4 linked regions of the Drosophila melanogaster genome follow. The protein of the gene in region 1 interacts with the protein of each later gene in a pairwise test. Each region holds a gene or a part of one and is shown in the gene's direction. Other genes may lie near its edges. The genes, in order: CG17991, Gos28, BomT2 and CG1572.

Region 1 (3,195 bases):
GCTCTGCACACGCCCAAGGCCAAGAAGCAGTCGGATCGGACCGCCAATCTCAAGGGCGCCGCACTCTTTAGCCCCGCCAGCTATACACCCCAATCGGCAAAGAGGAAAGCAGGTTTAGAAACACCATCCAACTCAGTGGCCGGCAAGCCGGGCGATATAGTTGACACCTTCGGACATCCCAAACTCCTGGCTGGCTCCAGCTGGCAGTCACAAATGGAGCACACGGTTCCGGTGACTCAAAAACTGCTGCACAACGACGCCCCGCTGACCATCGCAAATTTGGGCTACATGAACGACCTGCTGACCGACCGATGTCACAACCTGCGCGTCCGCTTCAACCAAACCGGTCCGGCACTAGTGGACAAGAAACTTGGACAAGCAGGCGCAGCCGAGTGCATTTGGTATCCGCAGGATAGGCAGGTATTGCAGTCCGCAGGTGGACTCCACGCGGTGGGAATGATTCATTCCGAGGACGATGGCCCACTGGACGCCCACTCCGCATTTATGGCCGTTTTAGATGACGATGTAGAAGATGAAATGGACCCAACGCTCACGCTCAACTTCTCCAGGGTCAAGTCTGCCAGCATATTCCCAGGTCAAGTGGTGCTCGCCAAAGGGTTCATACCCAGGGGCAAAACCTTCATGGTAGAGGAGATACACACAGAGCGCAAACTGACGCCAGCAACGCCACTGCAAATAGACAGGGAGCTTCAGTTTGTGGTGGCCTCCGGACCCTTTACGGACAGTACGGATCTCTTCTACGAACCGCTGCACGACCTGCTCAAGTACCTCAAGGATCACAGACCTGACGTGCTGGTGCTCACGGGACCATTCCTGGATGCCGATCACAAGATGGTCGGCGAACTGGCCGAGACCTTCGATACATTCTTCGAGAAGATGATTGGGGGAATAATGGAGTCGATTGGTAGTCACACAGCAGTGCTGGTGGTGACCAGTCAGAAGGATGCCATGGCTCTTTCCGTATATCCAACGCCGCCGCCCGCTCTGCGCAGAACCTATCCAAATCTATACATGCTGCCCGATCCATCTCTGGTGGACTTGGATGGCTTTACGCTGGGCGTTACCTCAACCGACGTGGTGGACCACCTGTTGAGTCACGAGTTTGCTGTGAATGCCGGCGAGCGGATGCACAGGGCCATCAACCACTTGTTCCACCAGGGCTCCTTCTATCCTTTGTATCCGCCGGCGGACGAAGACATGGCCTACGATTCCCAGCTGGCGTTGAAATATGCACAGCTCAAACAGCTACCAAATGTGCTCATCTTGCCCAGCGATCAGCGGCATTTCATCCGCTTGGTCAACGACTGCCTGGTGATCAATCCCGGCCGTGTCGCGGACAAGAAGGGTGGAACTTTCGCCCGATTCCTGGTGGCGCCTTCGGTGCCGGGAAAGGCGGCCAACATGTTCAACAGTGTGGCGTGTCAAGTCCAACGCATCTAACCTGACCACTTTGTGATGATGATAAGGAAAGGATAGTGGGAAATAGATCAGTACAATATTATTAGTTAATATAATGAACACACTACTTTGTCATAACTTTTCACAAAATACATTCAACAACAAACAACTAGCATTAGTTATTTTGGGCCAAAGTAGGTATTGTATTATTTGTAAACATATGCCCTGGAGTTTTCTCAGACTCAAGTTTTATATACAACAAGATCAATAATGGCTAGCAACGTTGCTGCGCCACAAGCTTCAGCTGGAGGAGATTCGACGGAACTGGAGCGCTGTTGCTGGATCTGTTTTGAGACCGATAAGGAGGCAGGTCGCCAGGCTTGGGTGAATCCATGTCTCTGCCGAGGAACCAATAAGTGGGTGCACCAGAGCTGCATTTCCCTCTGGATCGACGAGAAGACCCGAATAAACAACAATCTGCAAGCCGTTTCCTGTCCACAATGCCAAACGGAGTACACCATTGCATACCCGAATCTCTGGATTTTCGATAGGGCTTTGGAGCTGACCAACGATCTTATCCTAACAAACTTATATAATTGCCTGGCCAATGTCTTCACGGTGGTCTTTGCCTATTGGTCAGCGGTTTCATTCGGAGCAAAAACATATTTGCAGATCACTGGTCAGGAAGGTCACGTTCATCAAATAATTCAATCGGGAGACCTGTTGGTTGTTCTGGTCGGATTCCCATTAATCTCGGTAGTTCTGATACTTGGACGCTTAATTCCCTGGGAAGATGCCCTGTTGCGCTTCATTAGAATATGTTATTCATTGCTGCGAAGTCTTTCAATGATGTGCCTAGGACGGAAATATGACCACCAGACCGAACCATACCCTTCTGCGCCAATGACCGAATATTCAGCATCGCGGGTGGTCTGTGGAGCCATCCTCTTGCCCACCATATCCATGTACGTGGGTAGAGTTCTTTACAGCTCTGTCGACGATAGATTGCAACAAACTCTTCTTGGGGGATTGACTTTCATAGCGATCAAGGGATTCCTCAAAATGTACCTCATGCATAGCCAATACATCTGTCGTATGAAGCGTCGTGTTTTGGATTACACGAAGGAAAACCTAGCGGAGGCAGACGGACACTAGGTAAACTCAAGATCTGCAAGAGAAGCAAGAAGTAATTTGAATATCTATTTAAATTGTAAAGTGTACAATTTTCCTAAGACTACGTGTCAATAGTGCATTCTTACTACCAATCATAAATAATCGTTAAAGCATTTATTAATTTATGCATAATAGTTTACAGCTAACAGTAGGAAATGGTGTCTAAATGTAATGTACTCCCTAGGATCTCTATGCACGATTGATCGATCCAGCCCCCTCTTTACGGAAGTCAACTCTGTATCGAGGGCGCGATCGTCGAGAACTAAAACTCCAATGTATATTTTAACTATACAAAAAATACTGTATGCCGTGTGTGTGTCCAATGAACTTGGCCGCAACTCAGATGCGGTTAAGTAACTGCGCGCCACCTTAAGTAATCCTCGCCTAACGTCTCACTTCGTTCGGCTTCTGTGCCTGGTTCCTGGAGCTGCGTCGTCCAACAACTCGTTCAGTTGTTGGGCTCCTGCTTGTATTGTTATTGTCGGTTGTTCACCCCCTCGGGATTGTGGCTGCTGACCATGCTGTGCTCCATGTTCTTCACGATCACATAGTTGGTGATGTGGTTGATGGCCTCGTCCTGCAGCCGCTCCGGCCAGCGCTTCA
Region 2 (4,058 bases), 8.6 Mb from region 1:
TGTGGGAATTATTTAAATGAATCGACATTTTTACAAAGAAACTAACTAACTATTACTTACTGCCCAGATCAGAAGGAGCCAAGAGGTGGTACTTAAAGTCGCGCTTAACCAGAACACCTGAGAGTTTGCTTCCCACCTCCGAGTTCTTGGCTGCGAGGCTTCCCATCACCTTGGCGGTTTTCTCGCCACGGAAATAAAGATCCACGGCATGTGTGTTTCGCGGGTTGTAGAATTTTATATCCGTGCTTGCATCTGCTTCGTATTCCCGCTGCAGGGCCAACTTCAGACGCGACATCTCGTTCTGCTCGCCGTGGACGAGCACGACATGCGTTGGCTTTAGTAGGCGGATGAATTCACTGGTCTGCTGGTAGTCCGTGTGAGCCGAAAACGATATGTAGTCGACGGACATGTTGAGCGGCAGCTTCTGGCCCGACAGTGTGGTGATCTCCTCCGGCTCGGAGAGAACGGCTTTGGCCAAAGTGCCCTCCACGCAGTAACCGGCTATAATCACTCCGTTCTTGGGATCTGTGCACCAGCTCTCGAAGAGCTCTCGCGACAATCCCGACTGCATCATACCCGGCGACGCCATGATTACGCAGGGTCCGATATCCTCGAAGTGATCGATACCCTTCAGGTTGGAAATGTGGCGGAAAACGAAGGGATTGTTCACAGCTATCTGTCGTCGAATTCGATCGTTCATAGCATTGATGTACGTCTGGTAGACAGCCATGCACTTCTTGGCCAAAGAGGAGGCATAGTAGATGGGAATCTCGTGCAGATCCGGGTTCTGCGACCAGAATTCATCCAGAATAAGTAGCAGTTCTTGGGCACGGCCCAAAGCAAATACTGGAATTAAGCATCTCCCGCCTTGCTGAACAATTTTCTGCACCAGCGAGGTAAATCGATTCTCTCGATCCTCTCTTTTCTCGTGAATGTGAGTGCCGTAGGTGGACTCTGTGATAAGAACATCCGGCTTCATCGGTGGCACTTCGGCAGCCATCAAATGTCGATCCTCCTGGCGCGAAAAGTCACCAGTATACAAGATCTTGATGCCAGCAATCTCGATCATGAACATGGCGGCACCCAAAACATGACCAGCAATATAGGCACAAAAGCGTACGCCCATCACATCGCGCTCCTCGTGGAAATTGATCGTCTCGATCTTCTCCATGGAGGCCTCCAGATCGGCTTCCGTGTATAGCATCTGTTCGGTGGATATGTTACTGATCTTGATGTAATCGGACAGCATCCATCGGTAAATGGCTTTCGTGGCATGGGTCATAAAGCAGCGGCCTTTAAAGCTGGTCTTCATGAGAAACCAAGGCAAGGCACCGCAGTGATCCAAGTGGAAACTGATAAATATAAGCATTCACCATTAAAAGTTCAATGCCCATTTAATCGCCGCAGTACTTACTGTGATATAAACAGCAGATCAATCTCATCCGCCTCTATTAGATCTACGTAGGGCAGGGCATCCATGCCGGACAATCCCGGATGGATTCCGCAGTCCAGCATTATCTTCTTGCCCTTAAATTCCAACATGATGCAGGAGCGTCCCACTTCCTGGCCAGCACCACTGAAATATAAGCGTTACCCTTGAGCTTCTATCTGGTTTAAATCAAGATTCCTTACAGTGGCTTGATCTGCAGCAGGTCGCTTTCCTCGTCTGGCATGCGTGCATCACCTGTTGCCTGCGTCATGATGTCTAAAATAATGTAATCAATAACAAACTTTTTTACAAATCGCCGGCAACAAAACGCTGTGCACGGCAGTGTGACCAAAGTTTGATGACTGCCGGTATGGACCTGTTCACACAAGGGCTGGAAAAGAACATTGTACTTTTTCCTTTTACATTAACATTAAGTTATTAGGACAATTTAATTTTCTCGTAAACATTTGTTCATTAAGTAGGGCCTAGATTAAATCTGGCTATTAATCTTTCCCGATACTCTCAACTCATTCCACTTGGGCCCCGCCTGACCTGGTCACACCGATTGCCACACGAAAGTCGAACAAATAAAGGAAAACTATTTTTGACAAATGGGAGGATCCAGCTACGATGGTGAGCAGTGGGACTTAATGGTTACCTTCCATATAAGCTATCTCTCCTCTCGACCTCCCGCACAGTGCTCAGGAAGCAGGCGCGGAGCCTGGAAAACGAGATCGACCTGAAGCTGGTGGCATTCAGCAAAATCGGAGCTGGCAGTGGAGGAGGTGGAAGTGGAGGACTAGGAGGCGTTGACACATCGCCGCTCCTGGGCGAGCACGTCTTCGATTCGCTGTCGGAGGAGATCGAGCAAATGCTGGAGAAGGTGCGATATGTGACCCAATGCCATGCGATGGTGCAGGGATTAAACCCGAAACAATGTAGTGCGGATTCCTTATTTATTTATTAAGCAAATTTCTGTGCCACCGGCTTTGTGCTACTATGAATTACTAATTTCCCACTAAGCCTTCCCAAAAATCATAATTTAATTGGCAGAATTGAGCACACAATTGAAAAACTGCCACGATTAACTTATATATATTGAAAACATTCCATCACTTTCCAATTTTTTATGAATCTGTATATATATTATACTTTATTATTCGAGTTTTTTTTATGCTCTGATCTTTGCTAAATTCTTTAAAAGAAAATGTTTAAGAATTCCTCTTTGAATTCGCTAAATGAATTCCATTTGATAAATACTTTAATAGATAATTCCAAGTAATGAATGAGTCACCGACTGAAGCACAAAATGTTCAAATTGTTTTGCTTGTTAAGTTATCTACGTTTTTTAGGCAATTCCCATATCTATAGAATTTCTATAGAATAGAAGGATTTCATTTCTATTTCATCCTTCTTAATTGCAGCTATCCTCGCTAAATGAGTCCATGTCCGATTTGCCCGCCTCTGGAGCAGCCGCCATGCACACACTGCAGAGGCATCGAGAGATCCTGCAGGGGTATCGCCAGGAGTTCAATAAGATCTGCGCCAATCACACAATGCGAATCGAGCGAGAGGAGCTGCTTCGTGGCTCAGGGTTGGCCACCAGCTCCGGCAGTCCATCCATCTCGGGCCTAAACCGGCGAGAAATGTACCTGAAGGAGAGCGGGCACCTCAACAGCGCCAGTCACTTGGTCAACGATCAGATAAATATCGCGATTGAGACGCGTGACCATCTTCACGCCCAGCGACAAGCATTCAAGCGGCTGCAGACCCGCTTTAACGATATCTCCAATCGATTCCCACTGATTTCCAGGTGAGACAGACGAGTTCTCAATTCAATTTATGCATATTTACTTATCCAATTATTTGTTGTATATGCACAGTCTCATTCAGCGCATCAACATTAAAAAGCGACGCGATTCGCTGATCCTGGGAGCAGTTATTGGCTTCTGTGTGATCTTGCTGCTGCTCTACGCCTTCAACTAGTGACCCGCCACCGCGATTTGGCCAAAGATAGAGCTTGCATTAAACTCCATTACAGACAATTGAATTTTAGTTTGTTTTTTCCGACGGTATATGTGTATGATTAACTTGTGATAGCAATAAAATGTACTATATAAGACAAAACCCAACAGCCATTGATTCTAATCTCAAGCAGCAGTTAATAATTTTAGGCAAACAGCAAACATAACAACTTATGTATATACCAAAAAGAAACCCAAAACATTTAAAACATTTACGTTATTGAAACGACTTCAATTGCACAGAGATGGCTGAAAATGCACCAGAAGAGGCTGCCCCCATAGACAATGCCGAGGAGATTCCACCCGCGGAGATTCCAGCCGCGGAGGATGCTCCCAAACTAGTAACGATCGCGGAAGCGGCGGAGGGTGCAGAAATCCAAGGTGAGACAGCTAACGTAGATCAAATAGAAGGAGAAGGCGAAACGGTGTTGCCAGCCGAGGATGACGAAGCCTCAAAGGAAGGGGAGGAGTCTGGAGCTAAACACAAGGGTCTTGCTACCGCCGACGAACGAAAGCGCGAAAAGCTCCAGAGAATTAAGGAAAGGCTTGCCAAAAAAGACGAGGAAGAGGCTGCGAAGGCTGCGTTGGCTAAAGCTCCAATAGAA
Region 3 (2,823 bases), on another chromosome or scaffold:
CAAATATATACAAATATGTATATATACATATTAAATATGATCTTTAAATACTTGCTATTGAAAAAACTTTCTAAAGGCTCCAAAAGGCACGCCTCTTATGATGGACATTACTCATACGCACTGTTGCACGCATATTAACCTTTTCTTAATTTATTTGTATATACTATACTCTAAATTCCTATAGCCTTAAATGACGAAAAATAATGTTATAATTTTATTTTTGATGAAAACTATATAATTATTTCAGAATATAGATAAGAAAACTTGTTATTTAATAAAAATAAATGAAACTGTATTTAAAATTCGAAAAAATTACCATTAGGTGTCATTCTAATTTTAAATAATTTTGGTATTTAGTAATTGAAAGAAGTAAGAATTTAATTATAGAAATAATTGTTTTTCAAAATACTTAAATAAAGTTGAGCTTTATGCCTGAATTTCATTTTAAATTATTTACATAGCCATATTGACTTTCTTACAAAAAAAAACTATGACTCCCTGCCAATCCAAAACCATAATCTTTCCAAGTACCTTGGCTAACCTTTTTTGCATAAAACTTGCTAATAAACTGTGTGCTAATATGACAGTTTATTGATTCGGCGGAATTGAACGCATTAAAACGGGTTCGCAATACTGGGAAAAACGAATCGCATGGGGCGCCGCCAAGTCAAATGGAATCAGGTTTGCAATCTGGCCACCTTGCACGTGAATAGAATCGCGTTCTGGACCAGCTTGGATTTCCCTCTTCCAATCGCGCAGCTCGGGGCTATCAGTCTGCACTTGTTTACGCTCAATTTCATTGAGAACGTCGCACCGCTGCACTCGGGAATTTCTCGATGGAGGTGTTGGCTTTGGCTTGAGCTTGGGAGAATCCCAATCTCGGCCAGACTTTTCCCGGTGTCGCTGCCAGTTGGTTGATAAGACAGATCGGTACACTTGGCTGCTCTATGACTATATAAAGCGTGTTGTTCTCAACACTTAGCATCAGTTGTCAACGGCTAATACGCGGGAGTCAAGCTCAGAATTCAACCACAAAAACCAACAACATGAAATTCCTATCACTCGCCTTCGTTTTGGGTCTGCTGGCTCTGGCCAACGGTGAGTAATGCCAACTATTTACAAACTAAATAAGTTATTTAATTATGATTTTAATTATATTTCCAACACAGCCACTCCCCTGAATCCTGGCAATGTCATCATCAATGGCGATTGCCGCGTCTGCAATGTGAGGGCCTAAGGGCAGCGGAGAATGAAGGATGCCAGTTGAAGTTCACACAGCCACACATATTTTTAAGTCGAAAATGTAATAGAAATTCCTAGAATCAAGTGCCCATATTAAATATATTCCAAACAAAACAACATATTATTTGTAATGGGGAAATATTATTGATTTCTATAGATAACAACTGAAAGGCAGTTGAGGTTCAGGCAAACCACTTAAATGTATTCCAATTGCAAAATGTATTACAAAGTTCTAGGAAAACAAACTATGAAACAATCACTTGTCATTAAAAGACGCTTAAAGTCAGCTTAATATTTGTTATTTGTTAGTTTAGAGATCTGGAATGAGAAACAAATTATTGAAAATGATCTTAGGCGATGGAGAATACCGTATTTAATTCAAATAAATGTTTTAAAGACTAATACAAATTTTATATTATCATATTATGATTTGATTAATTACATTATTATCCAAATAGATCAGCCTTGCTACTGTATGGTTTAGCAATAAAATCGATACAGCTTACCGATTTTTTGTTTAATAAATAACAATAATTAAACAACTAATTAATAGGCACTCCTTTCCAGACATTTCTTTAAAATAACTATGTAAAATCCCGCAAAATAATTATAAACAATTATATATATAATATAGCAAATACTATATGTACTATGGCATATAAAAAGCAGAGCACTCGCACTTTGGCAGTCAGATTTATTCGAAATCCCCAAGGAAAAACATGAAAGCTCTTCAAGTCGCCGGAACTTTGATGCTGCTTTTCTGCCTGCTGGCAGCTGTTAATGGTAATTATTTAATGAAATAATAAAATATATATATGATATTTTTAGCTAATCATTTCCTTATTGCAGCTACGCCGGGACAAGTGTATATCAATGGGAAATGCATTGACTGCAATAAGCCTGATAATGATCCGGGAATTATAATTCCTCCAGACCATAAATCAGCTGGATCCATGTCTTACACACTCACATCTGGAGCCATCTTCTTTGGAATTATATATCATATATTCAGTTAAATTACTATGTAATCAATAAGTTAATAAAATAATATCTTTTATTTCTCAAAAAAAAACCTTAAGCTTGTGACAAATTGCGAACTTAAATACAACCCTTATCACGTATAGATTTAGTCACATATTAAAACTGCTATTTAACAAATCCCAACTTTATGGGTATTTAAATTGCATTTAGATTATAGCAATTGCATATTAGATTAAAATCTGTAAATTTAATTTAATTCCCAGCTTTGTTTAAACCGCTAGGAAGCTTTAAATAATTTAGCTTTAATTTTTATATTTATTCATATTGATTTTGGAATTAGATTTCCTATTTGAGACAAATCTACAATAATCTATTATTATTTATATTCGATTGATTGATCGCTATCGCTTTATTTTGTTTTGCCATTGTTCTGAATGTACATCGCCTTATCAACATTTTTTTTTGTAGGGCATTTCCAGACTGGGCACAACTTTTGTGTGATTACAACAGCTGAGATACGTACTATCCGGGAAAAACCTGATATTTAAATTTCATCATAAAGGTGCCTATAAAAGAAAACCAATGAAGTGAATTTTTATC
Region 4 (5,742 bases), on another chromosome or scaffold:
CCACTAGCAAGTTTAATTCCTTTCTTTTTAATTGCCAATCCGTGGGCGGCCAATGAACAGTGTCAAGGGGGCGTGGCCGGGGGCCTAGTTGCACTTGAAGATTACAAATATTAAGGTTGGCCGCTCCGCTGCTTGGCTGCTCTGCCGCTCACTCGATGACATCATGACGTCAGGCGTCATTTATACCGCGCTAGCCAGCAGTCAAGTCAACTTGTTGGCGTTGTTGGCTGAATTGCCTTGCTGATACCCTGGATGAAAACGCATCCGGGTGGCATAGACCAGTCATTATTTCCAATGTTGTGGCCAAAAAACTAAATATTTTCTTCCTTTAAATCTGAAAACCGTCTTTTGGCCAAAAATACGATTTATGCAAAGGGTGTTTTTATCATAACTTGTCTAAAAATGGTCATAAACGCATAGGAATGACTGTTTTGTGCAGCTAATAACCCCTACTAACTATCCCTATCACTTTTTGATGGATTTTGAAAAATTAATTTTTGGGTCGATTTTTGCATATTCGGTATTCATCAAAATTTGCGAAAAATGGCAAAAAATTAAAAATCCAAATTTTAAACACAGTTTGATTAGAATTTTGAATACGAACTCAACGAGGTATGACAATCCATATTTGGATCATTATTTCCAATGTTGTGGCCAAAAAACTAAATATTTTCTTCCTTTAAATCTGGAAAACGTCTTTTGGCCAAAAATACGATATGTACAAAGGGTGTTTTCTTATAACTTATCTAAAAATGGTCATATAAGTACAAGAATGACTGTTTTGTGCAGCTAAAAACCACTACTAACTATCCCTATCACTTTTTGACGGATTTTGAAAAATTAATTTTTGGGTCGATTTTCGCATTTTCGGTAAGGGGTAACATCATCAAAATTTGCGAAAAATGGCAAAAAATTAAAAATCCAAATTTTAAACACAGTTTGATTAGAATTTTGAATACGAACTCAACGAGGTATGACAATCCATATTTGGATCATTATTTCCAATGTTGTGGCCAAAAAACTAAATATTTTCTTCCTTTAAATCTGGAAAACGACTTTCGGCCAAAAATACGATTTAAATAAAGCGTGTTTTTATCATAACTTGTCTAAAAATGGTCATAAAAGTGCAGGAATGACTGTTTTGTGCAGCTAATTACCACTACTAACTATCTCTATCACTTTTTGATGGATTTTGAAAAATTAATTTTTGGGTCGATTTTCGCATTTTTGGTAAGGGGTAACATCATCAAAATTTGCGAAAAATGGCATAAAATTAATATTCCAAATTTTAAACACAGTTTGAGTAGAATTTTGAATACGAACTCAACGAGGTATAACAATCCATATTTGGACCATTATTTCGCATTTTTTGGCCCAAAAAGCGACATATTTAAAAAATTGCAATGCATGTTTTGTACTACCAACCTAATTCGCTTGTGAAGTGTTCTAAGTGATGCAGGGTATCCCCCAAGTCGAGTCGCAGTAAATCGGCCTGGAAGGCTTCTGCTGGGTCTTGTTTTGTTTTCGTCTCGGCTGCGTCGACTGCGACGCTGAAAACTGTGGCAGAGGCAGCGGGCCAAACGCTTTTATTTTTCAGTTTCGGTTTCAGTTTCGTTTGCAACGTGCGCGCGAAAAGACGCAAAAGTCGAAAGAAAAGTGCGAGGAAAACCAGTTGGCTGAGTCCTACGCCGAATTTTGAGAAAAGTAAGAGTAAGATCCATACCGAAAACTTTAGATATACAGAGAGAGAAAGAGGTACATACCACCCATTTCTACCGCTGGGACTATATGTGTGTTTTATTGTTTTTTTTTTTTTTTTATATATTTTTTTTGTACATTTCGAAAAGCAAAAGGAATTGGAATTCTCGGTACTTGGCTGTGCATTAATATGTTGTTAATTTTTTTTCTCCTACAAGCATTAAACTGCATTATTATTGACGGCGATGATATCATTTCCAGAGTTGAAAATGCGAAACCGAATGTGAGTCGCGTTTGCAGTGGGGAAATATTCTTATCAGCAGAACATTTGATAGCTTGCCTTTTGGTACATATGTATATTGATTAGTTGTTGTCATTTGGGAAATTGACAAAAGCGGCGTCTTTGTTCATCTCTTCCGGTTCCAAAGAGGAATCTTAAAGGGCCCAAAACAACAACCTGTTGCTTGGGCCAAGTTGCTTGGCATGCGAATTAAACTATCGTACATCATAGGCATGATATCATACCGCTTTTCGGCGGAAATCCGCCATCTAATCAATATTCGGAATGTATTTTGTTTAATTCCGATAAAATGTCGCACATGGGTTCTTGTTATTTTGGTTTTTGCTTTGTTTTGTTTTCTTATTATTATTTTTTTTTTTGGTTTTCGGTTTTTGGTTTCGGTATTACGCTTCGGAATTTGGGCCGCACCCCTTCCATGCCACTGGGATATACATATGTATATATGTATGTGTATGTATGTGCCTCTACCACTTTTGTGAATTTCGATGAGCATCATTCACATTGTGTGTAAACTATTGCGTCACCGGTGGCGTCATCGTTTTTGAACTCGTCTAATGCGCCACCGATTTTGAGGAAGGTCTAAGTTCTGAAATCCAACCCCATTCCAATTGCCATCAATCTTGTATGAGCACATTTCCTAAAACAATATAATTCGTTGGTATTTTCTAAATTGATCTCTTCCTTGCTTAGTTAAAATATCAAGAATATAAAATTAGTTACGATTTTCAACTCCTCTGTATGGGTCTTACAAGGCTTTTATTTAACTCATGTTTGTTTTAAGCCAAATATAGCAAATATAGCTATAGCAGAGCAGTTAATTTGGAATTAATCTCACTATCCTTCCGTTTGTTATTTGTTTTAAGCTAAACTGGTTTTATTTGTTTGCCTACAATGTTATTCGGCTTGATTACCAATCGTCAAATCTGAAGTCAGAACTTATAGTCACAATCTGATTTCCAGATCTGGCACGGCATTTGCGAATACCCTATAACCATTATGCCCACCCACGGCATCTGTATACTTAAAGTGTGTGTGTGTGTGTGTGTGTGTCCCAATTACGAACGAGGCGCTTTTCTTCAGTTTTCCTTCAGCTTTTCCACAACGAACAGCAGGCAGCAGACCATAAAGTTCATGACGTTTATGCATACATATCTACATACATTCATATATGTACATACATACAGACTTACATATATCCAATCCTAGGTGAACATATAGACGAGAGCGATTCATCTATTTTGTTCGCTGCCGATCCCCAAAAAGGGGGGAAATCGTTGCGCGGGGGGAGAGGAGTGGTTCTGTATGGGGCGGGGGGGTTTTCTCTCGTCGGTCAAGTAAATAGATTTTTCCGATTCTCCCACTGCTTCAATAACGCATTTGGCGCTTTTTCGCCTGCGAGGCCGGCATTGAAAATTGTTTTAAAATTAGACAAAAAGCAAAAATCCAAAACAAAAACAGCAACAAATGGATGGCCAAAAATACACAAACATTGTATGGATACATTGCAGATCGATGGGCGTGGCAAGGGCGTTCGATCTGTAACAGCTGGCCAAAAAGTACAAAAGATACAAAAAAAAAAAGCAATAAATAAATAAAAACACACCATATGAATTACGATATTCGGGGAATATAAGTGAAAGAAAAAGAACCTAAGACTTACTCATTTTAATCAAATAATTAAACCATAAATTAACACATGGATGCAAATATACTTTGCATGAATCACCAGCAAATTTGTTGGCTTATTTCAACGAATTTTAAGCATTTACAATTTGATAAGTATTATTATTTAATTTCAGTTCTTATCACCGAAGTTTCTTATATTTCTGTATTGGTATTAGCATCCAATATTTTACTTTTTTTTTGTGTTTATTCATTTATTTATTTGTCTTTGCAGACCCCACCTTTAACCCCCCGAAAAGAACCACCGAAGCAGAGCGAAGATGTCGCATTCAGTGACCATTACCCGCACCACCACCAGCACCACCAACACCTCCTACATTGTCCTGAACACGGGCTATCTGAAGACTTTCCCCGGCATCCTCAAGCTCTTCGAGCTGGTGCGTTAATGCTCCCAGAATTCGATAGCAACTTTGAACTTAATGTAACAACCATCACGATTTTTTGCGCAGATCATTGGTGCTTCCATTGTGGGAATTCTGGCGTTCAACTACCAGGACTACCACAGATACTTCTATGGCCAGCAGGATCTGTTCCATTATCTGATGGCCGTTACCTTTATGATAGGAACGTTCTGTTTACTCCTCGCCTGCCTCACGTCGCTCAGCACGGGCGGCATTATTGCCAAGACGATCTATGTGAGTATAATCATCATTGCTATATCTTTTGTATACTTTAGTATTAGCCATGGAACTCCAAACGTACATATATATACTTCGCCTTGTATCTGCAATCCGTGCATTTCAACGACCATTAACCTTTTTGCAGGAGCTGATTTACCACAGTGTGGCCGCCATCCTGATCCTGGTCTCGTCCACCATCCTGCTGCTCAAGCTGCGCGATGTAAAGCACGACGCCTATATGGCAGCCGGTGTTTTGGGCCTGGTCAATGCGGTGCTGTACTTCATCAGCGCCTTCCTGGCCCACCGATCCTATCGCGGCATTTAAGCACTAAAGCACCCAAAACCCACCGCCCACTCGGCCATTCAAGTGGAATTTGCAATCTCGAAGCATTTGTTCTTCCCACAACCAACTCTAGCCACTGGTCATGCGAAGCAGGAGAAGGAGGCGAGAGCCCAGGGATATACAAACATAGATGTAGAGAAAGTGGGTGCCAAGCGGCGGAATCTTTGTTGTACTGTGAAACGTTCTTTGGCGCTAGTTACACTTACTTGTACTTTTACCGATATATACAAAACTTTTTTTTTGTCTCACTTTCTTTTGTACCAAACAGATTGTCATGTATTCGAATAAAGATGTGTGTCTATATGTTTTTTCTAAATGTGTAGTAGTTTGTTTATTTGTTGCTTCAGCTGCAATAGTTTTTTATTGTCGGCATGCTTTAATTGTGTTGGCCAGTGTACTTTGTACTTTTTGATTTTGAACCGATCGTAAAAAGTGTTGCATACTTTTGGGCCATGCGGGAAATGTTGCTGTTAGCAAGCAAATATATAAATTCGATGAAATCATAATTTCATTTAATTTAATACCAAAGAGTAATAGAAAAAACGTGGTGGTAATTTTTATGGTTTTTATTGAATATATTTTAAATTAGTTATCTATAAAATAATTACTATATAATATAATATATAATAGAATTTGCATCTTTGTTTGTCTTCTCATAGAAATAGATTCTCTAAACACAAAAAATCAATTGAAATTACTAATTACTAATAATAATTAAAACACACTTCTCGCTCCCTCTGGCGCAGTTTTTATTATCTGTTGATGGGCATAAAGCCCTCGCCTTTAACTACTAATTTACATATACAGTAAACACAAATAAGTGGTTTAGGTGTATTAAAAAAAAAAATCATAGTAATTAAGAGAAGTACACGCAAGTATTAAATATAAAAGAAAAGGGTAATCGATTACGATAAATTAAGCATTTTTCTTTAACAATTAACTGACCCTCCTTCGATCGCCGACCACACAAACGTTTCGCCTAATAAATACAACTCGTATATCAAGCATTAAGATATGATTATCGAAAAAAAAAAGAATTACATTTAATTATATTCGCTGCTGGCTGCATTTTGCATTCTGCTGGCTGGAAATATATA

Evidence for each region.
Region 2: the proteins of CG17991 (region 1) and Gos28 interact in a two-hybrid assay, tested with the Drosophila melanogaster proteins (one large-scale study listed by BioGRID).
Region 3: the proteins of CG17991 (region 1) and BomT2 interact in a two-hybrid assay, tested with the Drosophila melanogaster proteins (one large-scale study listed by BioGRID).
Region 4: the proteins of CG17991 (region 1) and CG1572 interact in a two-hybrid assay, tested with the Drosophila melanogaster proteins (one large-scale study listed by BioGRID).

Annotation. Positions count from the first base shown.
Region 1 is NT_033777.3:27,239,643-27,242,837, forward strand, and holds CG17991 (uncharacterized protein), read left to right. Parts: upstream 1-1,624; 5' UTR 1,625-1,689; coding exon 1,690-2,574; 3' UTR 2,575-2,688; downstream 2,689-3,195. Other genes in the region: PolA2 (DNA polymerase alpha subunit 2), read left to right, coding at 1-1,461; CG18766 (uncharacterized protein), read right to left, coding at 3,068-3,195.
Region 2 is NT_033777.3:18,661,756-18,665,813, forward strand, and holds Gos28 (golgi SNARE, 28 kDa), read left to right. Parts: upstream 1-1,982; 5' UTR 1,983-2,040; coding exon 2,041-2,062; intron 2,063-2,127; coding exon 2,128-2,312; intron 2,313-2,853; coding exon 2,854-3,242; intron 3,243-3,312; coding exon 3,313-3,415; 3' UTR 3,416-3,552; downstream 3,553-4,058. Other genes in the region: Cpsf73 (cleavage and polyadenylation specificity factor 73), read right to left, coding at 61-1,352, 1,415-1,576, 1,633-1,700; CG31231 (uncharacterized protein), read left to right, coding at 3,699-4,058. UniProt on the Drosophila melanogaster protein: Involved in transport from the ER to the Golgi apparatus as well as in intra-Golgi transport. It belongs to a super-family of proteins called t-SNAREs or soluble NSF (N-ethylmaleimide-sensitive factor) attachment protein receptor.
Region 3 is NT_033778.4:18,387,139-18,389,961, forward strand, and holds BomT2 (bomanin tailed 2), read left to right. Parts: upstream 1-1,856; 5' UTR 1,857-1,961; coding exon 1,962-2,025; intron 2,026-2,091; coding exon 2,092-2,258; 3' UTR 2,259-2,305; downstream 2,306-2,823. Other genes in the region: BomS3 (bomanin short 3), read left to right, coding at 1,047-1,098, 1,170-1,237.
Region 4 is NC_004354.4:11,554,501-11,560,242, reverse strand, and holds CG1572 (uncharacterized protein), read left to right. Parts: upstream 1-1,605; 5' UTR 1,606-1,755; intron 1,756-3,804; exon of another isoform or gene 3,805-3,833; intron 3,834-3,896; 5' UTR 3,897-3,942; coding exon 3,943-4,059; intron 4,060-4,131; coding exon 4,132-4,317; intron 4,318-4,447; coding exon 4,448-4,627; 3' UTR 4,628-5,193; downstream 5,194-5,742.